3 linked regions of the Nothobranchius furzeri genome follow. The protein of the gene in region 1 purifies or fractionates together with the protein of each later gene. This does not show direct contact. Links are inferred from orthologs where the notes say so. Each region holds a gene or a part of one and is shown in the gene's direction. Other genes may lie near its edges. The genes, in order: sec16a, sec23b and sec13.

What was found.
Region 2: the proteins of sec16a (region 1) and sec23b purify together in Homo sapiens (affinity purification with mass spectrometry; 3 studies listed by BioGRID and IntAct, with this or other methods). This does not show direct contact. The link is inferred for Nothobranchius furzeri from reciprocal best matches to the Homo sapiens genes SEC16A and SEC23B.
Region 3: the proteins of sec16a (region 1) and sec13 purify together in Homo sapiens (co-immunoprecipitation; 4 studies listed by BioGRID and IntAct, counting the BioPlex papers as one, with this or other methods). This does not show direct contact. The link is inferred for Nothobranchius furzeri from reciprocal best matches to the Homo sapiens genes SEC16A and SEC13.

Annotation. Positions count from the first base shown.
Region 1 is NC_091746.1:60,759,996-60,770,475, reverse strand, and holds part of sec16a (protein transport protein Sec16A), read left to right. Parts: coding exon 1-1,847; intron 1,848-1,937; coding exon 1,938-2,089; intron 2,090-3,799; coding exon 3,800-3,888; intron 3,889-3,990; coding exon 3,991-4,108; intron 4,109-4,876; coding exon 4,877-5,075; intron 5,076-6,684; coding exon 6,685-6,868; intron 6,869-6,981; coding exon 6,982-7,124; intron 7,125-7,286; coding exon 7,287-7,348; intron 7,349-9,229; coding exon 9,230-9,368; intron 9,369-9,468; coding exon 9,469-9,711; intron 9,712-9,794; coding exon 9,795-9,892; intron 9,893-9,975; coding exon 9,976-10,057; intron 10,058-10,152; coding exon 10,153-10,270; intron 10,271-10,364; coding exon 10,365-10,476; intron 10,477-10,480. UniProt on the Homo sapiens protein: Acts as a molecular scaffold that plays a key role in the organization of the endoplasmic reticulum exit sites (ERES), also known as transitional endoplasmic reticulum (tER).
Region 2 is NC_091746.1:24,266,528-24,277,737, forward strand, and holds the start of sec23b (protein transport protein Sec23B), read left to right. Parts: upstream 1-3,695; 5' UTR 3,696-3,849; intron 3,850-5,570; 5' UTR 5,571-5,577; coding exon 5,578-5,798; intron 5,799-6,360; coding exon 6,361-6,418; intron 6,419-6,525; coding exon 6,526-6,612; intron 6,613-6,779; coding exon 6,780-7,016; intron 7,017-7,097; coding exon 7,098-7,180; intron 7,181-7,261; coding exon 7,262-7,406; intron 7,407-8,918; coding exon 8,919-9,077; intron 9,078-9,167; coding exon 9,168-9,283; intron 9,284-9,366; coding exon 9,367-9,490; intron 9,491-9,566; coding exon 9,567-9,647; intron 9,648-9,733; coding exon 9,734-9,823; intron 9,824-10,532; coding exon 10,533-10,639; intron 10,640-10,930; coding exon 10,931-11,084; intron 11,085-11,195; coding exon 11,196-11,210. Other genes in the region: ccdc85al (coiled-coil domain containing 85A, like), read right to left, coding at 1-1,033, 1,912-2,157. UniProt on the Homo sapiens protein: Component of the coat protein complex II (COPII) which promotes the formation of transport vesicles from the endoplasmic reticulum (ER).
Region 3 is NC_091743.1:73,555,590-73,566,606, reverse strand, and holds sec13 (protein SEC13 homolog), read left to right. Parts: upstream 1-4,981; 5' UTR 4,982-5,111; coding exon 5,112-5,114; intron 5,115-5,305; coding exon 5,306-5,350; intron 5,351-6,016; coding exon 6,017-6,132; intron 6,133-6,296; coding exon 6,297-6,448; intron 6,449-7,131; coding exon 7,132-7,265; intron 7,266-7,412; coding exon 7,413-7,546; intron 7,547-7,659; coding exon 7,660-7,780; intron 7,781-8,706; coding exon 8,707-8,853; intron 8,854-8,968; coding exon 8,969-9,079; 3' UTR 9,080-9,731; downstream 9,732-11,017. UniProt on the Homo sapiens protein: Functions as a component of the nuclear pore complex (NPC) and the COPII coat. At the endoplasmic reticulum, SEC13 is involved in the biogenesis of COPII-coated vesicles.

The DNA of each region.
Region 1 (10,480 bases):
GCCACAACAGTGGAACTGGCCCTCGTCGGCTTAAGGGTGTCGAAGGCACCTTTATTCAGCGGGAAAGTCCTCGTCTCAGCGAAAATGCTAACCCATCTGCTGCTACTGGAGGCTACTTTGAGCAGATTGATACTTCTCCTGCTGGAGATGCAGGTGTGCAACAGACCCCACTGGAGCAAATATGGCTACCCACACCTAGCCCTCCAAAACCAACTGGTATTTTTCAAGCAAGTGCTAACAGCTCCTTTGAACCTGTGCGATCACATGGGGTTGGGGTGCGTCCAGCTGAGGTGGATAGGGCAAAAATGGTGGCTGAAAGAGGCACTGACTGCACGTCTGGAAACTTGGAACAGCCACCGGATAATATGGAGAATATTTATGGCCCAGGACACCCCCAGCCTGCTGCTACTGGAGGTGGAATCCCTCATCTGACACAACCAGTAGTTCATTCCCACTCTCGGCCTTCATCTCGTGCTTTTGGGGCCAGTCGGCCGTGTGAGAGTCCGGCGACTACTCTGTGGGCTCAGAATGATCCTACAAGCTTGGGTGCTAACATCCTCCTTGCTCCTGCTGCTCCCACAGTTTTGGCACCTTTACGAGAGCCTAGCACTGATGTCATTCAACCACCAGAAGATGGTCCGCTAGACCTGCAGCCCCCACAGAGAATCCAGTCAACCAGTCAGCAACATTTAGAAAATCTAGAGAACCCACCAAAGGTGAGTGATGCAGAGCCAACCGACTCTCAGAGCAACCTGGGCTACGCCTCTCTCCTCGTGTCCAGCTCACTTCATCAGCCTGTTTTGATTGCCCCGCCTGTATCCAATTACAGTGTGATTCCTCCCAGTGGCCTCGCTCAATCATCCACCCAAAGTAGTCACAGGGAAGCTACCCCCCCTGATAGATCACCTGCACAGGGACAGGGTGCCAGTATCTCTCAATCACCTTCTCTACCTTCCAAACAAAATCCACTTTTTTCTGCTGGACCCATAAATTTTAGCTCCTCAACTGCTAACCAGGGTCCACTGAATCTGACTCGAGACAAAACTGTAGCTCCAACATCAGAAATCACAACCCCGTCTCTGCCTCCGCAAGTCAACCCGCCTCTGTTAAGAGGTAGATCACTGAGTGAAGATAACCCAGCTGCCATTCACATTAATTCACATTCTTCTTCCATTGTGATTGCTTCTGTCTCTAATCATAATCAGGCATCAAATTATGAGCTGCTTGATTTTTCTATGCACCAATCACAGACTCGAAGCCAAGCATCTGATCGACCTTCTTCTCTACATGAGTCATTACCTTCTAGTAATGGGTTTTACCTGCAGGTCACCAAAGATGCTCAGCAGGTGGCAAGAGGAGGGAATGCCTCTATCCAGACCACAGCTTCTTCATTTACCCCACAGGTACCACCCGCACCCTCCCAAGCTGCAGCAAACCCACAGCGGTCCCAGAATGAATCTTCTAAGACATCAGATTCTCAGGCTGCACCCCAGGGACAGAAAGATGCCCCAGTTGTTCCTGTGAGTGGAGCACAACCTCCTACTGGTCAGTTATCAAATCCAGCACAAGGACTGGCTGCAGATAGCGCTCCTCCCACTGCAACCGCATACCCACCGGGGCCGAGAGGTCCAGCACCTCCAGGGGCATCCCACCCATCTTCAGCAGAGCCACCTCGACCACCTTCCTCAGCAGGCAGCCATCATGCTTATGGACCCCCATCACTCCCTGTGGCAGGACAGAGTGGTTATTATGGGAATTATGGAGAATACCCAGATAGCAGAGCGCCGTATCCTCCAAGCCAGTACCCTCCTCCACCTGGAGATCCAAGAGCACAGGCATATTATCACGTAGGTGGTTTGGATCTTTCTGTTTTGTTCATTTGAATCCTATTTTGAGAAAAAAAAAGTGTTCTCTTCTTTAACGCTTTATTTTATTAGGATTTATCATACCATGGCAGAGCAGACCCCTGGTATGGCAGATATGAGGGGCAGACCCAAGGCTACCATGATCCAAACTACCAATACAGAGAGCCACAACCAGACAGACCCAGCTCGAGGACGAGTCAGTACTCTGATCGACCCTCATCAAGGTCAGTCAACCCTTCATGATTTAATGTGCAGAACAATATAAAATAATGATGTCCATTCAATTTCTTTATGGAATATTTTACTTCCAGCCTCTCAAAAACTGTTTGTGTTTTTTTTTACTGTAGAATACTGGAAGATGAGCCTGAATTGTCTACATTTTTGATAACTTTAGCCATTCATTCCCCATTTAATGTTTTAGTCGTTTTATATTAAGTTTTGTGAATAGTTAACATTTTAGCTTCTGCCCCTGGTATTCAGTGACATATGTAGCTATTTTGAACAAATAATTGATGTATAATAATTGTGTTTATTGATTATTTTCCAGCGTCTGTGTACATAAACATTCATCTGAAAAGAGAAAAGATGCTTTGGACCAGAGTTAGCTAAAGCTAATCTCCATCAGCTGTCCACGAGCAAGTCTGCGCAACAAAAAACAAAACATAATGAACTAATACTGCTGTTATTGCTTCATATTTAATATAAGATACTTTTGCTAAAAAAGACAATTACCCTAGATAACTTTATAATTAAAATCACTGGTACAAGTCATTAAACAAAAATGAACAAAATAATATTTAGTCATAAGCTGCCTGACGTTGGCCCTGTTGATTATTACTAGGGCAGCAGTAGCTCAGGAGGTAGAGCGGGTTGCCTCATGATCATGGGTCACGGGATCGATTCCAGCTCCTGCCAGGGGTATTCTGCTGTCGTGTCCTTGGGCAAGACACTTCACCCTACTTGCCTGTGTTGGTGGCGCCAATTGGCAGCCCTGTCAGACCGACCCCAGAGCGGCTGTGGCTACAACGTAGCTTACCATCACAAGCAGTGTGTGAATGTGAGAGTGCATGCAAGCGTCTTTGAGTGTCCTAAACAAGTGCTATATAAGTTCTATGCATTATTATTATTATTATTATTGTTAAAATGTTTTTGCAAGTTGGCAAAATTGAGAAAAAGTGTACAGATGACGGGATAGTTTCCTACAGATAGGATGCTGATTTTGCTGTTTGATGGTTTTGAGTGGAAAGGCTGATTGTGCAAAAGCAGAGCACCTTTTTGGAATGATGGTTTTTGTGAGACGGGCACCTAGTAGGGTTGGGCAATTTGTATAACTTTTCCCATCGCCAAACATCAGTCCAATAAATAACGGGTGATTCATTCGTGCATGTGACTCTTTGAGCAACGTCATGATGTATGTACTGATTTGCAACACAGAAGAAGTCCAAAAACAGATTTTTTTTTTAATAGAAGTGCAGCACATGTTTGCTGGAAGGTAAATTTTGATTTTTCTTTTTAATTTTGAATTTGTTGTTTGGTTGAGTGACAGCTGGATTAAACACGGTTAAAGTGTTAAAAAGAAGCCTCGTCTTTGTGCCCACCATTGTGGTATTTTATTTAAGCAAAAAACGTCTTTTTTTTCTGAACAAAGGCTGCTAGGTTTCTTTGAGTCTTGAGTAGGACATGAAAAAAATCGCACTCTAAAGAGGGAGCATTTGCTCGCAGCCAGAGGTCACATGATCCATTTATACCCGCCACTTTCATTTTTAAAATAATAATCGTTCACTGTTGTTAAATTTCAATTCATTATTACCTTCACTTCTCTGGAGGGGAAATTATTTAGTGGGATTACTTTGTGCTGGCTTGGAATCGGGGCTTTAAAACATGCTTTTGATTATTTATTCTTTGAATTTTATTGTGCCTGCTTTTCCTTAAAGGCAAGGATACACCGATGATTACCAGCAAGCAAACCGAAGTTCCTACAGTGATTATTACGGAGGTTATCCCAAACACTATGATTATGGAGGTAAGAGCTGCAGTATTGCTAGTCTGAATGGTTTACTTTTAAATGTAGCAAGATAACATTCTAATGAATTTTCTTACTTTTCCCAATATTTTGTCATTAAAGGATACAACTATGGACAATACGACCCACGATACAGAGGATACTATGATCAGTCATACTATGCATATTACAATGAGAGTTACAGAAACAGCTACTATAATCAACCTGTGTATCCCACCAGGTATGTACCCAAAACGTTCTTCACATCTGAAGTGGTGCAGCAACTAGAACAGGGGTGTCAAACTCATTTTAGCTCACGGGCCACATTGAGGGAAATCTAGTCCCAGGTGGGCCGGACCGGTAAATAAAAAAAAAACTTCAGATTGTTTTCTTTGTTTTAATTGAAACAATATAAAACAAGACTGGAGCCTGAGGACAGTGTAGTACAAGTACAACACCTGAAGTGTACTTGAAAATTTGAAAAAAATAAATAAAAAATCAATCAATAAAAAAACATTCCTTAGTGATTCAAAGAGCTTACAGATCACATGGCAAGATCAGTTTCATGCAGCACTTAAAGTATATTTGACTCATTTTACTTTACATCTTTTAGCTTTCACCAGCACATCAATATCAGAAGTCACATCCCGAGTGGCAGCCAACTTCAGGATGTGATTCAAGTTCTTGTGTGAGCCTTGAGCGCAGCTTTGTTTTATTTATACTCATTACAGAGAAAACTTGCTCACAAAGATACGTTTATTTTCACTCTACATTGTAAAGTATGAAAATAAAGTTCACACAATCGTCTCGCGGGCCGGATTTAACCCGCTTGCGGGCCGGATCTGGCCCGCGGGCCGCATCTTTAACACCCCTGAACTAGAACATTAAATGTTTGCTGCATTACTGTAAATTTAGCTGTGATGGGAAACATTATAGGAACTGTGGCTGTGTGTCATGGATTTATATCCACAGAGTGGTGTTTTATTTACAGATGTTTTCTCACTTGCAGGAAAGATGGGTATGATGACCAGTGGCGGTACTATCCTGGATATGACGCCAGTTTTGATGATGATAATCAACGTGGAAGAGATGCGTATGGTGATGACTTTGACCGACGCAGCGTGCACAGCGAGCGGTCGGCACACAGTGTGCACAGCTCCCACAGTCACCACAGCCGACGGAGCAGCTTCAGCTCTCGATCTCAGCAGGTCCGTCATTCCCATCTTGGCTTAACTTTTTTTTTTTTTTTTTTTGTCAGGTTCAGGTTTGTCGCAGATCCACTTTGAGGAGCCACTCATAGACAGATTTCAGTGAGCGTACTGCTGTCAGGGAGCTCCTTTTCCCGTCAAAATAATATAATCTTTTTTTCCAGTTATTGTGGTTCTGTTTAACTTGTTGAATGCTTCACTTTTAAAGGATACTTTTTTATTTTAAAATTTTCTTTGAGCCAGTGTGTGCTAAAATGAACCTTTACAGGGTTATTGAAAGTACACCCAGCCCCTGTCACCCCCTGTGGCCAGAAAACTGCATTTGCAGCTTTACATTTGCCCGTCCGGTTTGTTGGACTTAGAAAAACTTGAGCGACATACCTGGCGCTGCAGTCTGTTTCCAGCACGTTTAGGTCATGAACACATCTGATTTATTTACTTTAGTGATGAATCACTCCTGTAGTCACTATTGAAGGCTGGGGAGACATTTAGCTGTTAGAATGGTAAATGGTCTGTATTTGATACGCCTTCTAGAATCATGGAACCCCCCAAGGTGCATTACAACAGCATCAGTCATTCACCCATTCACACACACATTCACACGCTGGTGGGGATGAGCTACGATGTAGCCACAGCTGGCCTGGGGCGCACTGACAGAGGCGAGGCTGCCGAGCACTGGCGCCACTGGTCCCTCTGACCACCACCAGCAAGCAACCTTCCGATTACGGGGCAAGCTTTTAACTCCTGTGCCACCATCGCCCATTAAGGTTGATTAGCCAGAACTGTACCCCGAATGGATTTTGAGAAGAGACGCAGACTAGCTGCGACAGATTGTTGATAAAACCACTGACGGAGCTTCAGCTTTCAGCTTTAAGCACCTCGTGATTTTTATCTTGAGAGGCGCTATAGAAATTATACTTTCTTCTTCTTCTTATGTTATCTTCTGTGCTCAGCGTTAGCAATGCTACTTAGCTTAGCTACATCGGCTGGTCTGGTCAGTACCAGAGTTTGGTTTAAACGTTAGATTAAGGTGTTAAAAAGACAGACGCAGTGAGCAGATTTTTCTTTTGATTCTACAAATGGACACTAGAGGGTGCTAAAAGCAAGCCAAAACTAGTTTCCCCTTTAATGCCTGTCTTAACATCTTTGACTCTACAACAAACTTGGATTAGTCTCTTCATCGAGATCCATTCTCCTACAATCAGGACATGTGACTCATCTTCTTATTTGGGTTTTATAAATATTAACTAAAATATTTAAGTTTTATATTTATACATTAGCTTTATCAGCAGTTTCATTTGTTGAATGGATACTCAGACATGCATTTTATTCTGTCTTTACAATAGCAGATCTAAATTTTAATAGTTTTTGCTACAAATGTTGCTGTTCTGATATTAATAGGAGAGTTACTAATTAAACAAGGAAGGACTGTTTATGTCTAAAGCCTGTAGAAGTTTCATTCTCAAAGGGTTTTTACACAAGTTAATATATCTTTGTTATATATAAATGTCAATAAATGTAATTTGCCTCACTTTTTTCCAGATTAATATTTGTATATTAGTTGTGTCATTTGCCCTTTTTGGTTATTTTTATATTTGGTCTTTTTTAGAGCCAGGTGTATAGGAGCCAGCCTGATTTGGTGTCTGCGGTTTATGACACCACACAGTCAACAATGCCTGTGGACTACTCTTACGGGCAATACCCGAATCAAGTGGATGCTTCTCAGAACTACAGCCAGTACACGTATCCTCCAGAGTACTCCGTAGACAATACCTGGGTTGCCCCTGAGCAGCGTACGTGAACAGCCCTCAACTTTAAATATGATTGAATATCTTATTATTTTTCTTCTCATTTATTCGTGTATGAGTGTGGTGTACTAAAGCGGTGACTGTTGCATTCTCTTTAGCTCCGCCTCGTCCTGCAACCCCAGAAAAGTTCACCGTACCCCACCGCTGTGCCCGCTTTTGCCCTGGTGGTCATCTGATTCAGGTTCTGCCTAATCTCCCCTCAGCTGGACAGCCCGCTCTGGTCGAAATCCACAACATGGAGGTACACTTCAACACATTTGGGTTTTATTTTACTGTAATTTTATGAAAGTATTATTGTATTTAACACTTCTGAAGTTGCTTTACTGTGTTCATCACTATTCGATACTTTATTAATTGTTAGGATGATAACAAAGAATACATTTACTCATTCTTGTATCTTTAGACCATGCTTCAAGACACCCCAGATCAGGCTGAACTGCGGACCTTCCCTGGACCCCTTATTAAGTAAGTTTATTTGTTAATCTGTAGGGCTGGGGGTAAACGATTATTCTGACGATTATTTTAGTGAATAATTGACTATTCTAATGACTATTTAGACAATCTAATGATTATTAACTGTGCAATAGAAAAATAAAAACCAAAAAATTCCTCAAAAAAATTGATAAATTGTTACTGTAAGAGAATAAACACTACAGGCCTTCCAGTTTTCATAACACTGCTTTTATTGTGTTGCGGTCGGTTATGTTCTGGTGACATGGAGAACTTGGGAGTGCAGGCTGCTGCCTGAGAGGTGGTTGGAGACGGAGTGTCTCCATGCTGCTTTGTTTTGGTCACTTATGTGCGTGAGGCGAGTGGTGTTACGACCCTTCCTGAGGAGTTTGGCTCGTGTGCAAAAAGGAAGGGACAATAACAGGATTTAAAAGTTAAAATGATGATCAGGTTTATTTACAACAACAAAAAATCATAAATCTTTCCATCCGCAGGTTGGGAATAATAAAACTAATTCTGCCTGTGAGGAATTGAAACAAAAGTACAAATAAGTAGGGATGTTCCACTGGGCAAAGATTACTGGGTTCTGGACCAAAATAAGGATCTCCAAAGGTCCAAACTCTAAACTGGGTGGTTAAACGAAACTCAAGGTGATATTTTACACTAAACCGAAAACCCACAACACTCTAAATGTAATAAAAGGGAGATCTACACCACAAAAAAGATGAACTCTAAACCAAAACGTAGCAGCTTATCCAAACGCAAGAAGCTGTTAGCGAAAATGCTAACAGTAGCTTTACCAACGTTAAAGAGCAAGTCACCCCCTACCAGAGTAACTCCACTCCCACTTCTTGTTTGAAAAATGCAATAAATGCTGTTGCCTGGCAGACCGAGAGGGCAGCGCTGCTAACAAATACACACACACACAGGCTCACAACAGCACTGTTACATCATAATGTACCAGTTTACATCATAGCATACCTCTTAGCCAATAGCAGTGGCAGATTTAAATTCAAATATAGTGCAGAGTTTTTACCTGACAATGGCACAACAATGCCAGTTTTAGGCAGAATATTTAAATTTTAACTAAGATGCACTGAAGTGCCAAATTATTGACTACACGTGTCTGCAGCACGATTAGACACTCGTTTATTTAGTTTATCAGCAAAAAAAAGTTTATTTGGGGGTGACTTGCTCTTTACGTTCAAGTTGCCAAGTTTAAATAAACCAAAAGTACCCAGCAGCAAACAGACCTGCACGGAGGGGAGACTGCTACCACCAAAAAAGCTCTCCTAATGTCTGAAAGAAGCTCTTTTTATGAAGGGAGAAAAGCTCCCGGTGATTTTCTACATCTGCGGTAGAGATGAAGCAGTGCATCTGACCCCAGAAGTTGTTGTCCGTTGCCGGGAGACGAAGGCGGGCAAAACAGGAGAGGAATCTAGCAGCGGACGGACATTGTTCCGGGTCTTCGGTGTTTGGCAGAGATGTTAGTGAAGGCGGAGAAGAGGGTGAACTAGAGGAAAAACAGGCAGATTCCTCCTCTATTTACAAACTCCTGGGGATGCAACAAGTGGGCGCGGTGCGTCGACTACTGGATCTGACATCGACAAATTTTTAGAATCGAGCCGTCGACATCATCGAGGCTTCACTACAGCCCTATTAATCTGAAGTAATTACCAGTGTTATTTAGTAAAATGACCTCAGGATTGAGTTAATACCTGAAGACAGAAACAATAAATTATGTTTTTAATGAATGAATGACGCTTATTTCAGATTTATGCTAATACATACATGTTGTTTGAGATTATTTTTAAGAATGACAACAGCTGTTAACTTGACCTAGACTTTGGTTTAGGCAAGTCCTTTTTATCTTAACATTGTGCATCATGCCATCAGGGAGGATACCCATAAGGTGGATGTGATCAAATTCTCCCAGAACAAAGCACTGGAGTGTTCTCGGGATAACAACCTGTTGGACAGGGACTCTGCCCGCCTGCTCTGGGACTTCATCGTGCTGCTCTGTAGACAGAACGGGGTAGGTTTATGCAGATGTAGCTACAAATTTATTAGATAAGAAGCAAAGTTGAGATGTTATTTTTTTTAAATGTTCTAAAACTGTTTTTTCATTCCCTTAGACTGTCGTTGGCACAGACATCGCTGACCTCTTGCTGAAGGAGCACCGATCCGTGTGGCTGCCAGGGAAGAGTCCCAATGAAGCCAACTTGATTGATTTTAATAACGAGCCCATCGCTCGAGCTGAAGAGGAGCCTGGAGCTGGACCCCTGTCCCTTCTGTCGGACACCTTCATGACTGTCCCCGAGAATGTTGGCAAGGAAACGGAGCGCTTCAGGGAACTGCTACTGTTTGGCCGCAAAAAAGTAAGAAATGTTAAAGTCTGTCTGTGATTTATTTGTAACTTTTGACACATGGAGCGTTTTAACCTGTTTGGTTTATGGGAAAGGATGCGCTGGAAGCAGCCATGAAGGGAGGGCTCTGGGGTCACGCCTTACTTTTGGCCAGTAAGATGGACAACAGGACACATGCACGGGTCATGACGAGGTAAAATGCCTGATCTGGAATCATTTTTTACTTTAAAAGTAATGTTCTTTTTATTCTAAATGTATTTTTGTGTGTTTGTTTAGGTTTGCCAATAGTTTGCCTATGAATGACCCTCTCCAGACGATGTACCAGCTGATGTCCGGAAGGATGCCCGCATCGGCCACTGTAGGTTTTACTTGTACCTTGTTTGTGTGTGTATATAAGAAGGATATAAGGCTAGTGTGCAGATTTTTATATTGATACACTTTGTGTGCATGTAGTGTTGTGGAGAAGAGAAGTGGGGTGACTGGCGCCCTCATTTGGCCATGATACTGTCTAACCTCACCCACAATATGGACCTGGACTCTCGCACAATCACCACTATGGGCGACACTCTTGGTAGGGTTGTTCATCCACTTACCTCATCCTCTGATTATAACCGACCTGATTCACGAGATCATCTTTTTATTTATTTATTTTTTACTTTGTGCAGCTTCTAAGGGGCTGACAGATGCTGCACACTTCTGCTACCTCATGGCTCAAGTTGGCTTAGGAGTTTTCACCAAAAAGAGCACCAAGCTCGTTTTGATTGGCTCAAACCACAGGTTA
Region 2 (11,210 bases), about 36 Mb from region 1:
GCCTCCTCTGGCCCTCTCTCACAGGGCTGCTGAACTTCCCATGGTCAGGACTCACGCTGTACTGGTGCCGGTGAGTTTCCAGACTGCCCCCCAGGACCTTGCAGCCCTTTTCGTGGTGCTCACCGAGCCCTAAATGTGCATGCCGGAGCTCCGGACTCCCGCAGCCCGTGCTGCTAATACTGCTCCTCTGGTACTTCTGATAGAGCTCCCCGCTGCCCCCTTGGCTCAGGTAGTGCTGCCTTTGGCCCAGGACCAGATCAGAACTGTGGTGCTTGGGGTGCTGTTCCGGACTGCGGTGGCCGATGTTGCGTCCATATTTCTCTGGGCTCAGCCCCCGCATGACCCTGCTGTGGTCAGGAATGGATATGGAGCCACAGCGGGGACGGCACAGCTGGGGCAGTGTGTACGGATACTCCAGGCTTGTGCTTCGGTGGCGTCCAGCCGGGAGCTCAGGACTGGACACGTCCCTGTCTCCTCCACCTCCTCCTCCCATTCCACTGATGCTGCTACACCTAGGTTTGTGCACCAGTTCGGGACTGCCCTTCTCCACGCTGCTACCAATAACAACCCCTCCTGCAGCCAGGTGAGCCTGCTTAGGGTGGGGGTGGTCAGAGCTGTCTGCACTGCCAGCACTGGAGGTGCTGCTCCCGTCCCCCACGTCTCTCATCAGCAGCCCCTGTCCTGGCACCAGCAGCAAACTATTCTGGCTGTCCATTGAGTTGTGACACCCTTCCATCCCTACACCCCCTCCGCCTCCACTCCCCCCTGTGCCTCCTCCACCCTTCTCTTCATCCAGCAGCAGGCAGAGCTCCTTCAGCTCCAGATTCTCCCGCACCACCTCCTCCTGTCGTAGCTCCAGCTCCTTGAGTTTCTGCAGGTACAGGGTCACCTCTTTGCGCATGACGCTGGCGCTGTAACGGCCAAGACGCTGCCACTCCCTGGAGACACGCTTTCCTTTCTGACGGTCGTCATCTAAGAAGCAGCACAAGTCCCGCAGCTCCCGATTGTCCTCTTGCAGCTTCTGATTGATGTCCTGAGAGGGAAAAAAAGAAGAAAGGGGTTAAAACGGGCTATGAGCTGAAATTACTCGAAACAAGAGGTTACTAAAGCATGTTTCATCTCACTCAAATGCTGCATCATGCAATCATGTTGACACAGAATCCCAACCCTCTCAGTTTTTTACACAAAACTGCAGAAATAAGGCAAAGTTAGGCAACAGAAACAAGTTAGCGACATTAAGCATCCCTTTATCAACACCAAAAGAACTCCTTCTTTCCTCCCTGCAACAGTTTAACTCTCCCCTAATTCCTCCCTCTCCCTGTCAAACCCCGCAGCTCTTTTCAGTGTAATTAGGCCGCTCAGAGAGGTGGAGGTGACGAGGTCTCTGAGCGCGGGCGAGTGATCCCAGTGTGCTGCTGAGGCTACCTCAGGCAGGTCTCAGCTTTAACTGTGAACACATGTGGACGTGGTGCCACGTTAATAACAACAGCAGGGGTGACTGAAAAGGAGAAAGCTGCAGCTTCACATCAAATGCTTACTGATTGAATCTAATCTCACATTTATGCCAATGAGCAGCGTAGCGGGGGTGTGGCTACCAGCACATCTTTAGTTTAGAGCTCTTTACAACCGTACAGAGGTTATTTTGATAAACACACCAGAAAGACACAACTTGTTGATTTTGCTCACAGATGGAAACATCTGCTTGTGAATTCATCTCAGAGCCCAAAAAGTTGAAAGCCTTGCAGATTTGATGTTTCTTTTCACCTGGGCCTACGCAGGCACCCAAACTTCTGCAGTGTCTTATCTCACATCCTGCCTGCTCGCTTCATTTCAGAACCTCTTGTGGTGCGCGCGCGCTCAGGTGCACTCCAAACCTATGATCTCATCGTTTACCGACGCGCGCCCCCTCACCTTCAGCCCCCTGATCTCGTTTAGGTGCAGCTGGAGGCTGCGGTTGACCTCTCGGATGAGATTCCCGTGGTCCAGGATCACGCTCATCTTGTCGGCCTCGGACCGCCTCAGCCGGCGCACCAGGTCCTCTTTGGTCCACCTGAGCAGCTCCTCGTCCGCGATGCCGGATATGTCCTCGGCTGGACTTTCGGTCTTCGCTATGGACAGCTGGAGCTGGGGCTGTGGCGGCGGAGTTGCCTTCTCCATTGGCACAGCGCCTCCGGCAGCGAGTAACGGCAGGAAATACTTGGAGGTGCGTTACCGGGCGCTGCTCGCATCCGCTCCCTACCGACTGAAGGGTGGAAAACCGCTATCGCTTGGAAATCAGTGGCATAGTTTGGCCTCTTTGCTGCTCCCCCCACTCTCTCCCAGAGCAACAGCTGACGATGCCGGGGTGAGTGCAACACAGGCAGACCGGAAGATGCTGGACTCTGCTCACTGCATCATCCTCAGAGCACGAGAGGCTGAGTGCTGCCGGGTGCAAGGTGTGGTCCTGGTCCAGACTCTGAATCCAAATCCAAGTGTGGGGTCCTCCAGCAGAAGCACAGCTGGCGCTTAGAGGAGAAGCAGAGAGGAGATTCTTCTGGGCTCAAACAGAAACACACCGAGAGGAAGCAGCACTCCCGCTCTCTCCTCCTCTCTGCCTGCTCTCTCCCTCCAGAGGTTTGCCTCCCAATAAGCAAAGAGCTCTGTCACAGCGCCACCCAACGTTATGTTTCATTCCCACGAATCCATTGTGAATATTGGAATATTTTCTGGGAAATAAAACAATAAAGAAAATGTCATGGACTGCCAAGATGTGTCAGCCTATTCCAACTAGTCTTACTCAGCTGCAAAATAAAATTAATTCTACACTTAATAATATTTGTCTAAATCAAAAGTTGTCCAACTTGCCCACATTTCACAGGCTTGTCTTTGTAGGACACTCTGACGTCAGCACCACGGACAGCGAAAATCAAGTTAAAAATGGAAAATAACTGGGATCAACGTTCACTAATGGCTGTTGGAATTTGACATTTACAACTGAATTTTTCTGAATCCAAACTACTGACACGTGTCCTGATAAAGGCTTTGCAGAGTGTATTTTCTTTTGAAATCTCAAGTTTATTTTTAAATCCAGGCTACGGTTTATGTTGTGAATTTTTACAGTTTTGCTGATTTTAAATTTACATGTTTTGCACATGAAAAGCCCATTTAGACTCCTCTGTGTATAAATACGCTTTATGAAAAAGACATGATTAGCTTGCCTGTATTGGCAAGCAGTCTCTGTCCACTTTCAACACCATAAAGTCCCAAATTATGATAATAATATTATTATTAGTAGTAGCATTTGTATTATTATTATTATTATTATTATTATTATTATTATTATTATTATTATTATCATTAAGAGCCATCAAAGACACCCTGTAACTTTTTGAGACAAGGCCTATTTCTACTTTTATTGCAGGTATTTACAACAAGCCAATTACCACCGTCAGCAAATAAACAAGCAGATAAAAATAAACAAAGATTAAACCAGACTTATTATCAGGCCAACTGTACAAAACTGTTCACAGAGACGATGAAAACCCCTGGCTGAATATTTTATGCTCCCTTGCCGTTTACAACACAATAAACTCTATTTCCCAGAGGTCCGCGCTCACCTAGTTCCGCCTGACGTTCACTGTACGCTTGCGTCACGTGACGCAAGGCGGAGCCAATGGGAAAGTCCTGAACTCGTAGTAACACGTCACTCTAGTAAAGTGAAAAGCCGGCTGACAGGGAGCAGCTCGTTCACCGACGTCTTCCTCCCACTTACGCCCGTCTGGTTTCACCTTCAGATGCACTAATTCATCCTAAACACAACCGTCTCTTTAGCCGCCGTCTCGTGCCGAAGCCAGCTCGCTTTATAAGAAGGTAAGAGCTGGGTTTAGTTCAGGGGAAAGTAGGTCGCCCATTTTTAGCTTCCATTTGAGGACAGGAAGTGGGTTAATGCTACATTCCGTTAGCTAACTCAGCCCGATGCTCGCGCTGGCGTTACCTTGTCGCTAAAGCGAGACTTTGGGTGATTAATTACGATGTTTTAGCGAATATTAAAAAGAGGAATATACTATTTAACGAGAATTGCGACATTTGAGTGACTTGAGACGTGTCCCAACAGCACTGCTGCTTATCGGGGTTGATACGTGGCTCCTAGTTTGTGTTGTTGACCCGAGAGTCATCAGATTTTTGATCTGACTTGTAGCAGGGGCCTTTGTGTTCCCCTTTAAGAAATAAGAGGTTTGTTCATGACGTTAGTAGTGGTCAGCGGTTAGGATTGGTATTAAAGCAGTTTTCATTCTGCAGCAGCATCAATAGCATCGACCAACATCTGTTAACGAATCCAAATGGTCTTTATAAAACCCAGTCAGGAACCCTTTGTAGCGCAGCTTTCTGATGAACTCTGCGTTTATCTGTGTTCTGTAGTGCGACATTTGGGCTTGTGCAGTAACATATTAGGTTAAACTTAACAAGCAGCGTAAATAAGTCGCCAAGGGCTCTGGATATGTTGATTTGTGCTTCAGGGCTTTTATTGTATTTGAAATTGAGATGCTCTTTTCTGATTTTGTTTTCCTTTGACCTGCAGCTGTCACTGTTGAGCCCATATTCAATTTCAAATTCAATTCAAAAATACTTTACTAATCCCAGAGGGAAATTGATTAAAAAATTGATCCTGCCTTAATTGATCAAAAAATTGATTACATTCAGTAGAATGTATTTTTCACTATCAACTCTGAGAGGATGTTGTTTGCTGCTGCTTTAGGACGGTGTGTTCAGGGACAAAATCGACTAAACCAAATTTTTGAGTTTCAGAGTGTCAGGCAAAAGGTCATTTTCCTTTAGCTGCCGACTTTATGAGGTTTACAGTAACATTTTAATGAACTCTGTGTTATAATATATGCATAACCTGGTGTAAATGCAATGTTTTTATTAGATTTTTTAGGTTTTGACAGAAATATGTGGAGTTTAAGATCAAACCATCTGTTTTTAGGAAGAATTTGGCTCGTCTAACGTGGAACTTCAGTGGTATTGGAAATCAGAGATGACTATCAGCTGATTTTCTTCCTGCTGTCATTTTCCCATTCTATTTAAAACATTCCATTCTATAAATAGTTTTTCTCACCTCAGTTTTGTTTATTCATCTTTTTTTAAAGGGGGAGAAAAGGTCCGTGTCCCCCGTCAGAAGTGAGATTAAACTGTTTGTGCAGTTGCCTGGCGATGCTTTGCAAAAGGCGTCACTTAGGTGTAATGAGCACATACCGGCACAAGCATAGCCCGATTAAATACACCCGGCACACCCACTCATTTGTTTTAGGAATTCTCTACATCGTTCTTCCTCCTCACCAAAACCAGCCGAGCGGGTTTCCTGGCGGCGTGTTTGTGCGTCAGGCTTTCGGACATCCGCGTATTTCGTTCCCACTGAAGTGAACGGCTCACATGTATAAAGAGAGGATGTTCGCTTTAGTTGGAGAGAGAGAGAGTAGAGAGCCTGAAGAGGGACGCAGCACCGTAGCAGTTATCTGGGACACAGAAACTCCAAACTGGACTGTGGTTTTATTTATTTATTTATTTATTATTTAACCTTTTCTCTGCTGAAGATCGGTGATGTCGACGTACCAGGAGTTCATCCAACAAAACGAGGACCGAGATGGGGTGAGGTTCAGCTGGAACCTTTGGCCCTCCAGCCGCCTGGAGGCCACTAGGCTGGTGGTTCCCGTCTCCTGTCTCTTCACGCCTCTTAAGGAGAGGCCCAACCTGCCACCTGTTCAGTATGAGCCGGTTCTGTGCAGCCGGGCCACCTGCAAGGCTGTGCTCAACCCACTGTGGTGAGTTTCTCAGAGTTTTACGTGTCTATTAATAGCATAGATTTACTTTCATATTTAGCTTTTCATGCAGGAATATTGCAGCTTTCCCCCCAAATGATTTTATTTATAGTTAACGTTAAATGGACAACACAAACAAACTATAATGTATGGTTGTATAACTGCCTCAACATCGACACAAATATTCATCATTGCCATAATACACACACATACTGTAAATGTCTGTTTAGGAACTATTTTTAGTCTTTGTTGTGGTCCTCCTGTAAGTTCAGGTGACATCTATAATAAACAGGTTCTGGAGACGGAGTCTTTTGTAGGCGAAGTGCAGAAAACGGCTGTCGGGTCCAACTTTCCTCCAAAATAATGCAACACGTCTTTTGGCACCAAGTGCTTGTTTTAAACTCCTTAAAAAGATGATCTTTATATCTTTCAGTTCTTCTAAAACTGGTGATGCCGAGACTTTAGCTCTTTTGAATACTGAAGTTTAGGTACTGGGTGTGGATTATGAGGACGCACCTTTTCCACATCGCAGCAGACGATGAAACGTCTCTCTTTCTGTTTCCAGTCAGGTGGACTTCAGGGCTAAAATCTGGGCGTGCAACTTCTGCTTCCAGAGAAACCCTGTGAGTGTTTTCTGTGTGAAACGCCACCTTTATCAGTGCTGATGCGGAGGATCTGCTTTCCTTTATTAGGCTGGTTAAATCGGCTCCGTTTGTCTGTGTTTGTGCAGTTCCCGCCCTCTTATGCAGGCATATCGGAGGTGAACCAGCCAGCTGAACTCATGCCACAGTTTTCCACCATCGAGTACATAGTTCAGGTAAAGGCTTGTGCGTGTCTGCACTCTGACCTCACCCAAGCACATCATGTACTACAGTCGCAAACACAAAGAAGAAAAGTCCTGATTAGATTATTTCTTTACTCTGAAACTTCAGAATTCTGAAATAAAGTTTCACATCAAGGAAATGTTGGGTTGTTGTTCCTCAGCGCGGACCCCCGACCCCTCTGATCTTTATGTACGTCGTGGACACGTGCTTGGAAGAGGAGGATCTCCAGGCCCTCAAGGAGTCCCTCCAGATGTCGCTGAGCCTTCTGCCCCCCAACGCCCTGGTGGGCCTCATCACGTTTGGACGCATGGTTCAACTTCACGAGCTCAGCTCTGAGGGGATCGCCAAGAGCTACGTGTTCAGGGGCAACAAGGACCTCTCCTCCAAACACGTCCAGGTCGGTTCAGAGCACCAGAGCAGGAGGGAGGGCTGGAGCCGAGCAAAGCTATAAAAATCTGGGGGGTATTTTTCATTTCAGGAGTTGCTGGGACTGACAAAACCGGCTGCTGCAGCACAGCAGGGTCGCCCTGCGGCTCCTCAAGAGGCCGCTGCCTTTTGCAAGTATGGAAAAGCAAAAGTGCTCATTAATCCGGAGCGGATGCTTTGCAGCATTTTCTACGAGTTCTGTTTGATCCTCTCCAGGTTCCTGCAGCCCGTGCATCGAGTCGATATGAATCTGACGGACTTGCTGGGAGAGCTTCAGAGAGACCCCTGGCCCGTCCCTCAAGGGAAGCGCCCCCTCCGCAGCACGGGGGTGGCGCTGTCGGTCGCCGTCAGCCTGCTGGAGGTACAGCAAACACTAAAGCTAATGCTGACTTAGCCGTCTGCTGCCTTTAACTACTTCTTCACTTGAACTTTAGCCTTCTCATGATGCCACATGTTCAGAAAGTTACTCACTGCCTGATAATCACCTCCTGCTGCAGCAGTAGGTTTGCGCCGATGGTCCAAAGGCCACTTCCTGTTTGGTCTGTCCCCTCCACCACAGGTCTCCCCTCTCCCCTGCTCCTGATAATCTGGGTGGTTATGTAACTGCTAGTGTGAGGGATCACTGCCCTGCTTAGCCCCTGGGAGGTGTGCCCAGATTTCTGCTCCGTCACCGACTCCAGACCCGACGACTCGACAAACGAGTCTCACAAACAGCAGCTCTGAAGCTTCCAGCGTTAGCTAGTGTGTTTGTTCTGCTTCTGAGAAAAGTGAATGGCTCTTTAGGTAGGAGGGTCAAATTATTATTATTATCATAATTAAATCATCATCATCATTGTTATTATTATTATTTATTTTTATTTTTATTATTATCATTATTATCATCATCATCATTGTTATTATTATTATTTATATTTATTATTATCATTGTTGTTATTTATTATTATCATTGTTATAATTATTTAATTTTATTATTTATTTATTATTATTATTACTATTGTCATCGTCATCATCATCAATGTTATTATTTATTATTATTATCATTATTAATCTTATTTATTATTATTATCATTATTATTATTATTATTATCATCATCATCATTGCTATTATTATAATTTATTATTATTATTATTATCATCATCATTGTTATTATTATTATTATTATCATCATCATCATTGCTATTATTATAATTTATTATTCATCATCATTGTTATTATTATTATTATTATTATTATTATTATCATCATCATCATTGCTATTATTATTATTATTATTATCATCATCATCATTGCTATTATTATAATTTATTATTATTATTATCATCATCATTGTTATTATTATTTATTATTATCATCATCATCATTGCTATTATTTATTATTATTATCATTATTATTCTTATTTATTATTATCATTGTTATTATTATTATCATCATCCTTGTTATTTATTATTATCATTATTATTATTCTTATTTATTATTATCATTGTTATTATTATTATAATCATCATCATTGCTATTATTTTTTATAATAATAATAATAATTATTATTATTGAAAGCTTCCCATAGAGGTGTGTATGACCCCACGGCTCATTTCCAGGCGTTTCATCGTGTTGAGGACCTCCCCAGACTCTTGTGCTTTGGAGTTTAGCTGTTTGTCCGGCTCCTTGTTTAGATGACGCTGAGGTTCGGACGTTTGGTGAACGAGTTATTTTCTGAAGATCATAAATGCTTCTTTTTTTCACTAAACTTTCTGGTTTTAAATCAACTTCATGGGAACTGAGTTTTGATTCAACACGTTGGAAATAAAAGTAACGTTTAGCTCAAACGGGAGATCTTTAGGGGACAACCTAAAATCCGTTTTCTTGCTCTTTAGGGGACGTTCCCCAACACGGGAGCCCGTTTGATGCTCTTCGTCGGCGGCCCGCCCACTCACGGGCCCGGCATGGTGGTGGGAGACGAGCTGAAAACCCCCATCCGCTCTTGGCACGACATCCAGAAGGACAACGCGAGGCATCTGAAGAAAGCCACGAAGGTTTTTAAATCTAAAACCCGTTTTGTTAAAACTGTATTCGTAATCATTTCTCAGGATTTTCTGACGGGTTGATGCTTTTCTACGTTTTAGTTTTATGAAGGCTTGGCCAACCGGTCTGCCGGGAACGGCCACTGCATCGACATCTACGCCTGCGCTCTGGACCAGACGGGGCTGCTGGAGATGAAGTGCTTGTCTAATCTCACCGGGTACGTGCGCTCCGTGGGGGGGTTAAGGCGTGGGCGCTGGTTTTGGGGTAAACGCGACTGAGTTTTGTCGTGTTTTGTTTTAGGGGACACATCGTGATGGGAGACTCGTTCAACACCTCCTTGTTCAAGCAAACCTTCCAGCGAGTCTTCAGTAAGGACTACAACAACGACTTCCGCATGGCGTTTGGAGGCGTCCTGGAGGTCAAGGTACAGGAACCAGTCTGTGGATTCAACTTCTAAATCCAGTTGCTATGGTGATTAGCGAGGTACGCTGTCTTTGCAGACATCAAGAGAGCTGAAGGTTTGTGGCGCCATCGGACCGTGCGTTTCACTCACCTCAAAGGATGCCTGTGTCTCCGAGAACGTGAGTTATCGCCATGGATACGACCGGGGAAGCCCAAGTGTAACCCGAGATCCGTCCACTCACCACAGTGTGTTCTCTGCTGGCAGGAGATGGGTGTTGGTGGCACCAACCAATGGAAACTCTGCGGTCTCGGTCCCTCCACCACTCTGGGCATGTACTTCGAGGTGGTGAATCAGGTAAAACACTCTTTAGATCACAGCCCTCCTGATCTCCAAGCTAGTGATGGGATTTACGGCTCTTTCATGGGAGCCGTTCATTAGTCGGTCGTTTACCTCAAAGAGCCGTTCAAAAGACTGACTCCTTTGAACAAAGTGAAGCCAACAGAGCGCGGGGGGGGTGTATCAAGAGCAACGTCTTCCTGCGGAGTCCGTGAGGGCGCACGGGGTTGGTTAGCGTTCCTCCCGAGATATGTTTATAAACACGTGTTTCTATGGTTCCTCCTACGTCCGTCACAGCGGTGGGTGGGGTTTAAGATGAACGGCTCTCTGCAGGGACTCGGCTCTCATCATTCACTTTGAAAACCCGTTCAAAAGATTTGATTCGTACGTGAACGTCACATGACTGCTCCAAGCATCCGTGGAGAGTTGGAGGATGGAGAATAGCAGCTTGTTTGTTCTCTAGAGCTCCTCCAACAAAGGCTGGTGTGTGTTCATCTTGTTGTGAAAGGCCATTTGTTTCAGAAGAGGAATAAGTGTGTGTGTGTGTGTGTGTGTGTGTGTGTGTGTGTGTGTGTGTGTGTGTGTGTGTGTGTGTGTGTGTGTGTGTGTGTGTGTGTGTGTGTGTGTGTGTGTGTGTGTGTGTGTGTGTGTGTGTGTGTGTGTGTGTGTGTGTGTGTGTGTGTGTGTGTGTGTGTGTGTGTGTGTGTGTGTGTGTGTGTGTGTGTAGCACAATGCGCCCGTCCCTCAGGGCGGCCGAGGGGCCATCCAGTTCGTCACCCAGTACCAGCACTCCAACACGCACAGGAGGATACGGGTCACCACCATCGCCAGGAAGTAAGCCTCTGATGTTGTCTCTGAAGGTTTCACACGAGCTCAATGTTCCAAGTGCCGAGCTGGAATGTTAACCAGCCCAGATTCCATAACAGGAAAACATTCCTGTTATGGAATCTGGGCCAATAATGTTTCAGAAGAACCTAAATAGCCCCGAAGAGAAAGGTGTGCATGCTGACGCCTTTAGAGACCTGCGTCATGACACCACGCCCGCACTCGCAGAGTAGTTCTCGTGTTGCTATTGTCCTCCAGCGTCCGCTCCCCTCGGGCCTTACCTTCTTTTTGTTTCTCCAGCTGGGCCGATGCCAACTCTCAAATTCAGCACATCGAGTCTTCGTTTGACCAAGAAGCAGCCGCGGTGCTGATGGCGCGCCTGGGAGTCTTCAGGGCGGAGTCGGAGGAGGGGCCTGACGTTCTGCGGTGGCTGGACAGACAGCTCATCCGCCTGGTGAGACAAACACACTCGGCTGGACCTGAGACCAGAGCGGTGTGGTTGTGGGAAGTTCTAGTTTTAATTCTGACGTTGTTTCCATAATTAAAACATGTTTTTGGATTTTAGTGTCAGAAGTTCGGA
Region 3 (11,017 bases), on another chromosome or scaffold:
CAGGCAGGAGCGTCTCAGGATCTGTCTTGGTGAGACAGATAATAGCAATCCAAAGTGCTTTTTATGTGTGATCTGACAATTGATCAACCATTGCTTAAAAATTAAATACAGCTTAGCCGGTTAATTGCTGTGATCATGAGACACGTAAACAGCAGCATGCAGAAATCACGAGGCAACGTTTTACGTGATGTTTACTTGCTGCTATGAGTAATAAGACAGAAAAAGCCACGCCAAAATAAGTTTAAGAAGCCCACTAAGAATCGTAATAAAAGCATTTAAAATAAATACCATACACAGTTGAGGAAACGTTGGTTTAAGTACCTGATATGAAGTGGTCGCTGCATAAGCAAAAACCTTTACTCTCGGGATCCCACAGTTTCATTTTAGCCCGGTCACTAGCGCGTTTTATTACAATGATCCAACGTTTGCGGCATTCCGGATCTTGGGGAATCCTGTAGATGGCTCATTCCTTATGTCGTCCGTGTCTGTTCTGCATCCTGGGGCACATTAGGAATCTACCAAATTTCCCGTTTGATTTGAGTTTTCTGACAACAACACATAGTCCAGCTGTGGGCTTCTGCCTGCCAATATGGCGCCGTTTCAATTTGAACTGTTGCATGCCGGGAGAAGTGACGTCAACTGCTGGAGCTCTATTGAGAAAACACTGGCGTGCTCTGTTGACACGATTGCGCATGCGTCGTGGGTTTTGGCCCCCATCTGACACCATATTGTAGTACTTTTTGGGTCACAGACGCTCACAGCGCCACTCCAACCCCATGAGGGATGAGAAAAATATCAAACACGCCAGAAGTCCGTGCGAGCTCAGGATTGCTGATTGGAGTTAATCGTCTCTCGTTACCCCCTGTAAACTACACAATGCTCAGCACAAAGCTCGCCCCGATCTTGTGGATTCTCGCACGGTGAAAATCGGCTCAAAAAAGTGAAAAAGTCGCTCAGTGTACGCCCAGCTAAAGGTCCCATAAACAGTGAACTCCTTTAAACATGTTTATTTGGATAAAATCTACATTAACCTAATGGGCCAAAATGAGGAGAATTTAGCTTTGACTCTGACATGAAGCATGTATCGTGCTGCAGCCCATCTGCTGTCAGAGGAGATGCTTACAGGTAAATTGCGCCAGCGCTAAGCCGCCACCAGCAGATCGTACTGCAGTCAGGGCAATGATGGTGAGACTTGCCTTCATAGCATTCAGTATAATTCTCCAATCAAAACAAAAAAATGGCTAGATTTGTTGCTATTTGCTTCAATGAAAATTGGGTCTAAAATCTTGCTATATAAAAACAAAGTTGCTGAGCTGGAAACACTGGCTGCATCACTTTCATTGTCACATGTGCAGATATTTGACTACTCACAGGTACTCCACATTCAAAACAAACTGTGATTTAAGAGCGAGTACCTGTGATACGTTCATGTCACTCATCCACCAGAGGGGAAATCTCATTCAGGACAGGCTCCAGAGCTGCCAGTTTGATGCTGGCAGACTGATGGCGAGGTTCAGAGGTGGCTGGTTCTTCCTCAGGAAGGAGCCCAACAGAGAAAGAGCCCCTGGCAGGATGGGGGACAGGTCAACCTGAAGAGGATGGGAAGTTATTTTCAGGTCTCTAGTTTGTCTTTTGTTGAGTAATCTGTGTGCTGAACCTTTAACGGGGAAGCAGAAATGAGGGTGATGGTTCAAACGGTAGTTAGCCTTGTTACCTCATTCTTTAATCTCTCCAGAAAGATGGCCAGGACTCCCTGAAGCTCCGATCCCAGGTGGTCTCCAAGGTGACACACCAGGTGACCCATGCAGGAAATGGCTCTTTCCTTCACTTCCTGGTCAATGTCTGCTGCTTTGAACCACTTCACCATTCCCGAAAACACCTTCAGTAAGAGTTTTATGGAGAACAGGTGACCAAATAAAACACATCTGGACTCAAGCAACAGCTGATCCAAAGCAAATACACAGAAGGATGAAAACAGGAACAAATAAAATGAAGTCAACAAAAGACAAAACAAAGTCTGCAAGAATAAAACTTTTTTTCTTTGCTTTAATTGATTTTCTGAAGGAGCCCGACTCCTTCTCGACTCACAGGTTCTGCCAAACCTGTTTATGAAACCAACACACATTAAAATAAGGTGAAGCAAAGTAGTTTCCTGGAAACAAATTAAATCAAGAATTGTCAAAGGGAATTTGTTTTAAACTCCTGATGAAAACTTGCCTGGGGCCTTATCTTATAAAAGCTGTCCTCCACACACGCAAGGACAGAAGGAAGCAGAACCTGCAGGAGACGTAACCAGATGACACCCAATCAGAAGTTTGGTCTTCAGTGGCCTCTAACTGTCACAATGAGTGCAGGAGGAGTAGGACCCAAAATGCAGAAACACTAGACGACACGAGGCAGGAGCGATTTGTAAAGTAAAATCCCTTTATTTGGATGGGAACAAAACATCCAAAAGGACAGGAAGCCAAAAACAAACCAATGTCCTAAAATCCTGGAGACCAAAGCTCAAAATCCAAAGGGGCAAGGAAGCCAAAAAACCATTGTGCTAAAATCCTGGAGACCAAAGCTCACTTAAAGAGCACAAACCTAGAGACCAAGTGGAGGGGGACAAAACAACGCTGAAACAAACAATGGACCGACAAAACTATGAGACAAGGACAGAGTTTTATACACTGGGGAGGATGAGAGGGAGATGAGCTGCAGGTGTGTGGGGAGAGAAACCAAGTGAAAGCAATTAACTAATCAGGGAGGAAACTAACATAACCTAAGAGTAAAACCTAAAGACAAGAAGAGCAGCAAACATAACTAATATTCTAATGGGGAGGAAAACCACAAACACCTGTGGGAAAAACGCATTAAAGAGACTAATAAAATGAACAGCTGAAACTAAAGGAAAACACTACAGAAAGAAAAACTACAGGGGCGTGACTAAGGGGGACCACGGGAGCACTGGACCTGGGAGGGGGATACCTGGGGAGGGAAACCTAGAGGGCTGCAGATCTGGGGACAAATGAGGAACACAAGAAGACACGTGAGGAAGATGCAGACAAGGACAACATGAGGGCGCTAGGAGACACAATAGGAGAACCTAGAGATGGGGGAGAACACAAGGAGACACATGAGGGGAGACGCAGAAGCAGACCGTGACACTAGCCAGGCTTTTATTTTACGTAGATTCAGCTTCAACGTGTTCTGAAGGGAACCACATAGAAGAACCTGCATGTGTGGCTAAAAGGTTCATGGAGGGTGTGAGAGGAGGAGGACGTTAAAGGAGAGAGCATCGATCCTCATGGTGGAGGAGGTGGACTTGTCTGTCAGGGAGAAGATGATGCCTAGAGGAAAGGGTGAGGGATGAAGAGGAAGAAAGATGAAGGGAAAATAAGGAAATGGGAAAATAAAACAGCTGAAGGAAAAGAAAAAAATGATGTTTTACTGTGAGGAGAAAAAACATAAACCAAAAATGTGATTCATGTAAATAACCCAAAAAGAACATCTTGTTTATCTTCTACTCTCTGGTGGAGGATCCAAGTGCTGCAAGTGGGAATTTATTTACTTTTTTTTAACTAGATAAATATGTAAGTGTGCTGCTTGTCAATAAACCATTTATTTCATATAAAATTGCAATTTGGGGCTATAAGATGTTTTATCAGTGGGCTTGATAAAACATCTAGCTTCCATCCTACCACCTCACACATCACATTACATCACCTCACATCCACAATATCGCATCTCGTTATTCATATCTTGTCATGTATAAATATTAATTTTGTAAAAGAATTAAATTAATTTCATAAACTATATACCTGACTCTGTCTGAATTACAGTAATACAAAGTGTGTTTATGGTCCCTGAACAAGTAAAAGTAACTATATTCTTCTGATTAAACATTCAAAGATCAGTCAGGTTGATATTTCATATTTATATGGAATAATTTGTGTGTGTGTGTGTGTGTGTGTGTGTGTGTGTGTGTGTGTGTGTGTGTGTGTGTGTGTGTGTGTGTGTGTGTGTGTGTGTGTGTGTGTGTGTGTGTGTGTGTGTGTGTGTGTGTGTGTGTGTGTGTGTGTGTGTGTGTGTTACCGTGGTCTGGTGCCTCATATCCACACCCATCAGCGCCTCGCTAAGGAAGACGAACGTGTTTATTGCAGCTATGTAGCGAGGGTCATACAGAATTGCTTGAGCCCTCATCTGCAGCAGCAAGGACCTCAGTAAAAGGCCGAACCTGGTCCTTGGTGGGTTAGGATAAAAACAGCTGTCAGGTCAGACTATTGTGGGTTTATGGCGTCACCTTGTGGTCATCTGGGGTAACGACGTGATAATTTGCTGTCCAAAAATCACAATCTGAGAGACATCTTCAAAAATTGACTATTATTACCAGTTGATATTTAGGAGACCTGAAAAAGAAGCACTTGTTCCTCTTAAAATAATGTTTTTTTTTTGTTTTAATGTTGTATTGAAATGATAAAGGGAATGTAATGTATCGATGTGTTCTGTTTTCTGTCTTTTTCTATTTGTTTACGTGAATTCATGTTACTATTTTATTAGTAATTATAATATGATTACAGACAGGTGTAAATGTACTGTGTGTGTGTGCGTGTGTGTGTGTGTGTGTGTGTGTGTGTGTGTGTGTGTGTGTGTGTGTGTGTGTGTGTGTGTGTGTGTGTGTGTGTGTGTGTGTGTGTGTGTGTGTGTGTGTGTGTCCCAAGTATGTTTGTTTTACACTGAGTAGGAGATGCTCTGTATCTCACTTTACACCTGTATGGTGACAATAAAGGTATTCTATTCTATTCTATTCTATGTATAGAGGGTCTTTGTACATTTAAGTTTCCATCAATAATTTTAGCTTTTAGCTCAAATAAACTGTTTCCTTTTTATTGTTTGATTATTTTTTGTTTGTTTGTTTGTTAAATGAAGCGTTTTTAAAGTTTTTATTATTCTTCTTTTTTAATTCACGCAGAACTATCATTTGGCGTTTTGTTTTACCCGGTAGGAAGTGAGGTGGGACTCGGTGGAGGAAACGGCTTCTGTACTTGTTGCCACGTCGGAATTGTGAACCTTGTGAAGTTAGTCGATAGAGAACAGGGGCTTCTTGTTTACACGGTTTAGCCACAGCCATGGTGAATTTCGTCACTTTTTGTTTTAGTTTCAGCTCAAAATATTCTAGGATGTTGATTTTATGTTTACATTTTGCTGGCTAGTCTTGGTAGCTGTCAATCCATTAGCACGATCGCTAACGGCAGGAGGCTAATCTGTCTGGATATAGTTTTATATTTGCTTGATTTTGTTCTTATTTGTTTGTCAATTGCAGGTTTCCGTTATAAACACGGTGGACACTTCACACGAGGATATGATCGTAAGTGTTTATGTTTTATCCAGTTTTATTTTTATCTCTGATGCTAAAAGCTAACAGTTAGCGGCTGTAGCTTTTATCTTCATTCAGTACCACAAGTGTAAGTGTTCTGTGTAAAGCAGCAGTTTTTAATTTAAATATGTAATACTGTTGGGATGTGTGTTTTGAGAAAGGAGTAGCACATTGTTTTAATTAGTTTAGTGCTTTTAGATCGTTCAGTCAAAATGTTTGTCTTAACTGTACCAGATGCTATAGTGTAATAATTACAGAAACAGTGCTATGTGGATTATTCTGTAGTGTTGACTGTGAAAATTTGTTAAATAGTCTTTAAACTTCACTTAATCGGCGTGTTTTGCATTTTCGTTTTAGTTGTAGGGAAAATCTAGCCGAAATCATTCACGTATTCACATTCTCCCTAAAAAGATAAGATTAATCATGTTCTCAATGTTTCAATTTAAGGAAATCAAAACCAAAACAAACATTCAAATGATGCAGTTTATGCCGCACATTTGTTATGTGATGGTGAAAGATTTAAGGAATGGGTTTCAGTTTAGCACCATCAGTTCATTTATGAATAAACCAGGTGTCATGCTTCCATTGTTTGGTGCTTTTGCTGCCCCATAGAAATCCCCACCAACATTCCTGGTGTTGCTTTGTTGTCTGTTTCAGCATGATGCCCAAATGGACTATTACGGGACTCGACTCGCCACGTGTTCTTCTGACCGCACCGTTAAGATCTTTGACGTCCGCAATGGTGGACAGATCCTGGTGGCAGACCTCAGAGGGTAAGAGATCTAAGCTTTGGAATATGCACAGAAATTTACGTAAGTAGAGTTGTCAAGTGAATGTCAATACACTTCCATTTATTTCCTAAAGATTTAATCTTCACCTGTTCTGTAATGTATTTTTATTTATTTATTTGTGTGTGTGTGTGTCCTGCATCATGTAGCCACGAGGGCCCTGTGTGGCAGGTGGCGTGGGCTCATCCAATGTTCGGCAACATTCTAGCATCCTGTTCATACGACCGCAAAGTCGTCATCTGGAAGGAGGAGAACGGCACCTGGGACAAGATGTATGAGTACACTGGACACGAGTCATCAGGTAGAGTTCTCCATTATTCTAGTGCCGGGGTGTTCATTTCCAAGCCTGGAGGGCCAGTATCCATTATGTTTTAGTTTTAACTGTTTCAACACACCTGATTTCAATCAGCAGGTGATTAACAGGCTTCTGCAGAGCCAGATGAGCTGCTGCACAGGTGATTCAACCATTGAATCAGGTGTGTTAGAGCAGAGAAACTACTAAAATGTGCTGGATACCGGCCCTCCAGGACCGGAATTGAATATCCCTCTAGTGGTTTAAATGTGCTCCTCCTCCTCATTCTGCTAATCCATGTGGCCTTCTTGAAAGAAGTTCAGGTGCTAGTAATGCTGGAAGAAGTTCCGTTTTTCTTACAGATAACAAATGTTTTGATCTTAATGTTGTAATTTTATTTCTTCTTCTGCCCGACAGGTCAGTGTAATGCACCAAAGTACACGTCTTGTTTCAGATATGTTCTCTTTTTTTTTGCCAACACCTTTAGAAAAATGAAATATTCAGATTAAGTTCTGTTTCTACAACATTCTCTTTTGTTTGAGTACATTTCTTTTTCCCTTTCTAATTGATCCTTCCTTTTTAAGAAATTACAAAGAAATTCATGTTCATATATTGGGGCTGAGAGATCAGTTTGACTGAATAGTTTTCCACACAACTTGATCTCGTCCTTAACTCTGTCTCTGTGTTTGCAGTGAATTCAGTCTGCTGGGGTCCGTATGAATTTGGTCTAATCCTAGCCTGTGGCAGTTCAGATGGAGCAATTTCCCTCCTCACATTTACTGGTGATCAGCAGTGGGACGTCAAGAAGATCAGCAACGCACACACCGTGAGTTAAAAATGAAATGGTTTTCCTAAGTTGTCACCAATCTTTTAAACTTTATTCTGTCTCACCTTTTCTAATTTAGTGTTTCTGTGTCTTTTGGGGCGTGAAGTGTATCTTTAGAATAATTAAAAGCTTTATTTTTTGCTTCAGATTGGCTGTAATGCAGTGAGCTGGGCTCCTGCTGTAGTTCCAGGCAGCCTGATCAATCAGCCATCAGGTCAGAAACCAAACTACGTCAAACGCTTCGTCTCTGGCGGATGTGACAACCTGGTGAAACTCTGGAAGTAAGTTGCTGTTGAAAATCTGTCATCCTGTATGGATAAAAAAAAGAACACTTTCAACAGTGAACGTCAGATGTAGCTAATATTCTGTGGCCTGAATAATGTTCTGCCTGCAGAGAGGAAGACGGTCAGTGGAAAGAGGACCAGAAGTTGGAGGCGCACAGTGATTGGGTCAGAGACGTCGGCTGGGCTCCTTCTATTGGTCTTCCCACCAGCACCATCGCCAGCTGCTCCCAGGTCCGATTTCTTTTTTTTTCTTTTTTTTCCCCCCCGTGTCCTGTCTGGCTGTGAAGCAAACAGAATTGATGTCTGAATGCTGGTGACAAGCCTTACAGATTTACTCTCAGGTGGAGCATCAAAGCGTCTGCTTTTAATGTCACACCTGGTACTTAAAACTTTATTGTTATTGTTTTTGAATGCTTTGTAATTCCGACCAGACACGGAGTCAGAGGTGAAAGAGAAAGAAAGATACAAAAGGAAGAGAGGGGGGGCAGGTTGTATTTCTAAAGAAATCTCATGTTGAATTTTTCACCTCATCACCAGGTGGAGCCATAGATGACATGTTTCAGAAAATATTTAGAGAAATTAAATGTTAAATATGGAATAGGGACACTCTGGTGGTATTGCAACAACAGGACTAATTTTCCAGCCGTTGGGATGTTGGTTCACTGCTGACATGTTCCAGCACCGTGTTTAGAGACAAATCGTACAGAATATAGACTAATTTCTACTAATGAGTTTATTATTCATCATTAGAACATCTTCTGGACTCAGAATCAGCTGCTTGACTTGTCAAGTCAGCCATTTTACACAGTCCCAGCCTCGCCTTGCTCAGCGGGTGCTTTAGCTTAATGGTGCCCAGTGGCTGGTAGATGTAAACATAAACCCGGCGTTGTGCCCGACAGAATAAAAATGTGATACATATTTTTTTTAAATATAGCTTTTAAAGGAGAAACTACATTCATTCTGCACACCTCTCAACGACCTGTGGCGGTATTGTTTTTGTAAATATAGCTTTTTATTTAAACTGTTCCATATGCCACCTTTAAGTTAAACGTTTGTTTAGAAGCTTGTCTCTGCTTTATAAAATGTCAGATTAGGTTTTAGTACGAATTAAAGTTTCTCTTAGAAAACTAAACTATTTGTCTCTGCATCTCTTTCAGGACGGGCGTGTGTTTATATGGACGTGCGACGACCCCGCAGGTAACACATGGACGGCCAAACTGCTGCACAAGTTTAACGACGTGGTCTGGCACGTCAGCTGGTCCATCACTGGAAATATACTGGCTGTTTCTGGTGGAGACAACAAGGTGCAACCTATCACAACCTTCCATGTTTGACCTTCTAAAATTAGTAAATTAAAACTTCCAGGTGTGTTTTGTTAATTATTTGAAGTTTTTTTTTATTTTATCGCCTTACCTGTAGGTGACGCTGTGGAAGGAATCGATGGACGGTCAGTGGGCGTGTATTAGTGATGTCAGCAAAGGCCAGAGCGCCGTCTCCACCATCGCAGACACACAGCAGAATGAGCAGTGACCTGGACGGATGCACCCACCTGTCAGTGACCCTTGACCCTAAAACAATGACCACAGCCTTAATAATAACAAACATGCTAGACATTTGGACTGATGAGAGCATGTTGTCCAGAGTGATGGAGCTCAGTCTGTAATCTGTAGTCTGAGTTGGACGTCTGCTTAATCCCACATGAAAAATAAACTTTATGCTCATTTTGCTGTTTAGAAACATAATTAGTATTAGATTTTGTAAAGTCCAGTCCTGTGTTTCTGCTTTTGTTCTACACATTTGAAAGTATTCACTTCCTTATTATTACTGGTCCAAATGGTCTCTCACACACACACACACACCTGCTTTTCCTCTCTGTGGTGCTCTGTAAACATTCTGCCTCCACCAGTGGAAAACAACGCTGGCCTGAATCATACAAAGCAGTGTCCTAATTTTACATTTTATTTAGTATTTCTGCACATTAGATCCAGCTGAAGCCTTCAATCTGTGAGTGACGTAAATCAGAGGAGAAAACACTTGGCTGCCAGGTTAAACTTTAAAAGTGATTTATTGTCACGTTTCTAAGTGTAAAGCAAAAACCTGCTTTAATCAGCTTCACACTGAACTTAACTAAGCAGGAAAGCATTTTTCTTGATTAAATTAAATTGTTAATGATTAAATGTTATGCTGTTGTTCTGTTTGTTATTCATCTAATAATGAATCATTGGTGAGCTGGCACAGACATTCCCAGTCAGTATTTTTATGTTTGATATTTTTATTTGCAGCAGTTAAAGCTGTTTGATCTCCAGCCACACGGTGAGAGGTTTGGTGGGAGTTTAGCTGCTTTGTTGTTGTTTTTCTGTTCATCTCAGACAGGAAGTGTAATATGATGCTGGGGGTGCATTTGCAGGAAGTTAACAAAGGAATGCCATATGTGCATCTTTATGACCGAGGGCGTCTTTTCTCCTTTACAGCCTCATAAGTCAGAGTTTTTGTGGATTTGCTTCAGGAATAATTGTAATTATCTTAATTGGATTAAATGCAGGTGTTTTTATTCTATATGTTTGAGGATGATTTGTTTCTGGAAACAAAAACTTCCAGTGGTGCTGCAGAAGATTTATGTTCAGAAATGAATCATTCTTTTCTCATCCAGTCATTTTCAGTATTTCCCCATCAAGAGTCTGCAGCAGATTAAAGTGTATGTTCTGCGAAAATTTAAACAAATGCATGAATCTCCTCGGTAAAAATGAAAGTACGTTTGGATGTGTTTATTAATTTGCTTCACTTCCTCTTGCCCTCTCTGCTGCCTCATCATTTCTTTACTAACATGAAAATCAGAGATTGTTGTTCAAAGGTTTGAAGTCTATTTGATAAAACGACATAATGAATGAATAAAAACATTCCTAAGATGATGAGAGGAACTTGATGTGTCGCGGGAAGATTCTCAGATCCGGAAAGCTATGGCTGCGTTTAGAGACAGGAAGTAGGGTCTCTAGCTGATAACATGCTGCTGGGCGTGTTTGCATCTCTGTGTGGTCGTGGCCAACAGAAACACTTCCTAATGTTTGACAGCTGTTGTAGTCACTAGTTGTTGAACCGAGCCAAGAGCAAAGCTCCAACTGCACCAGTAAGTAATATTTTACTCCAGCTCTATTACATTCCAGTACTTTTCTTTGTTCATGACTCTATATTGGAGCCAGAAATATCATTTAGTTTGAATTTTGGGTTTTACTTTGTATTTTTGTACAGTTTTGATGCAATTTAAGGCTTTTGTGTCATACCACCTTAAATTTTGCCAAGTGAAACAAATACTTGTAACAGATAACATCTTTTGTTGCAAAACAAGTTTGACAGTTGAACAATGAGTCATTTCACACACACACACCATCAACAGCACCCTTCATCCAAATGAAGCTTTGATCACACTTTATTTTAAAGTTAATGAAAATCAAGAACTTAAAATGTTTTTCT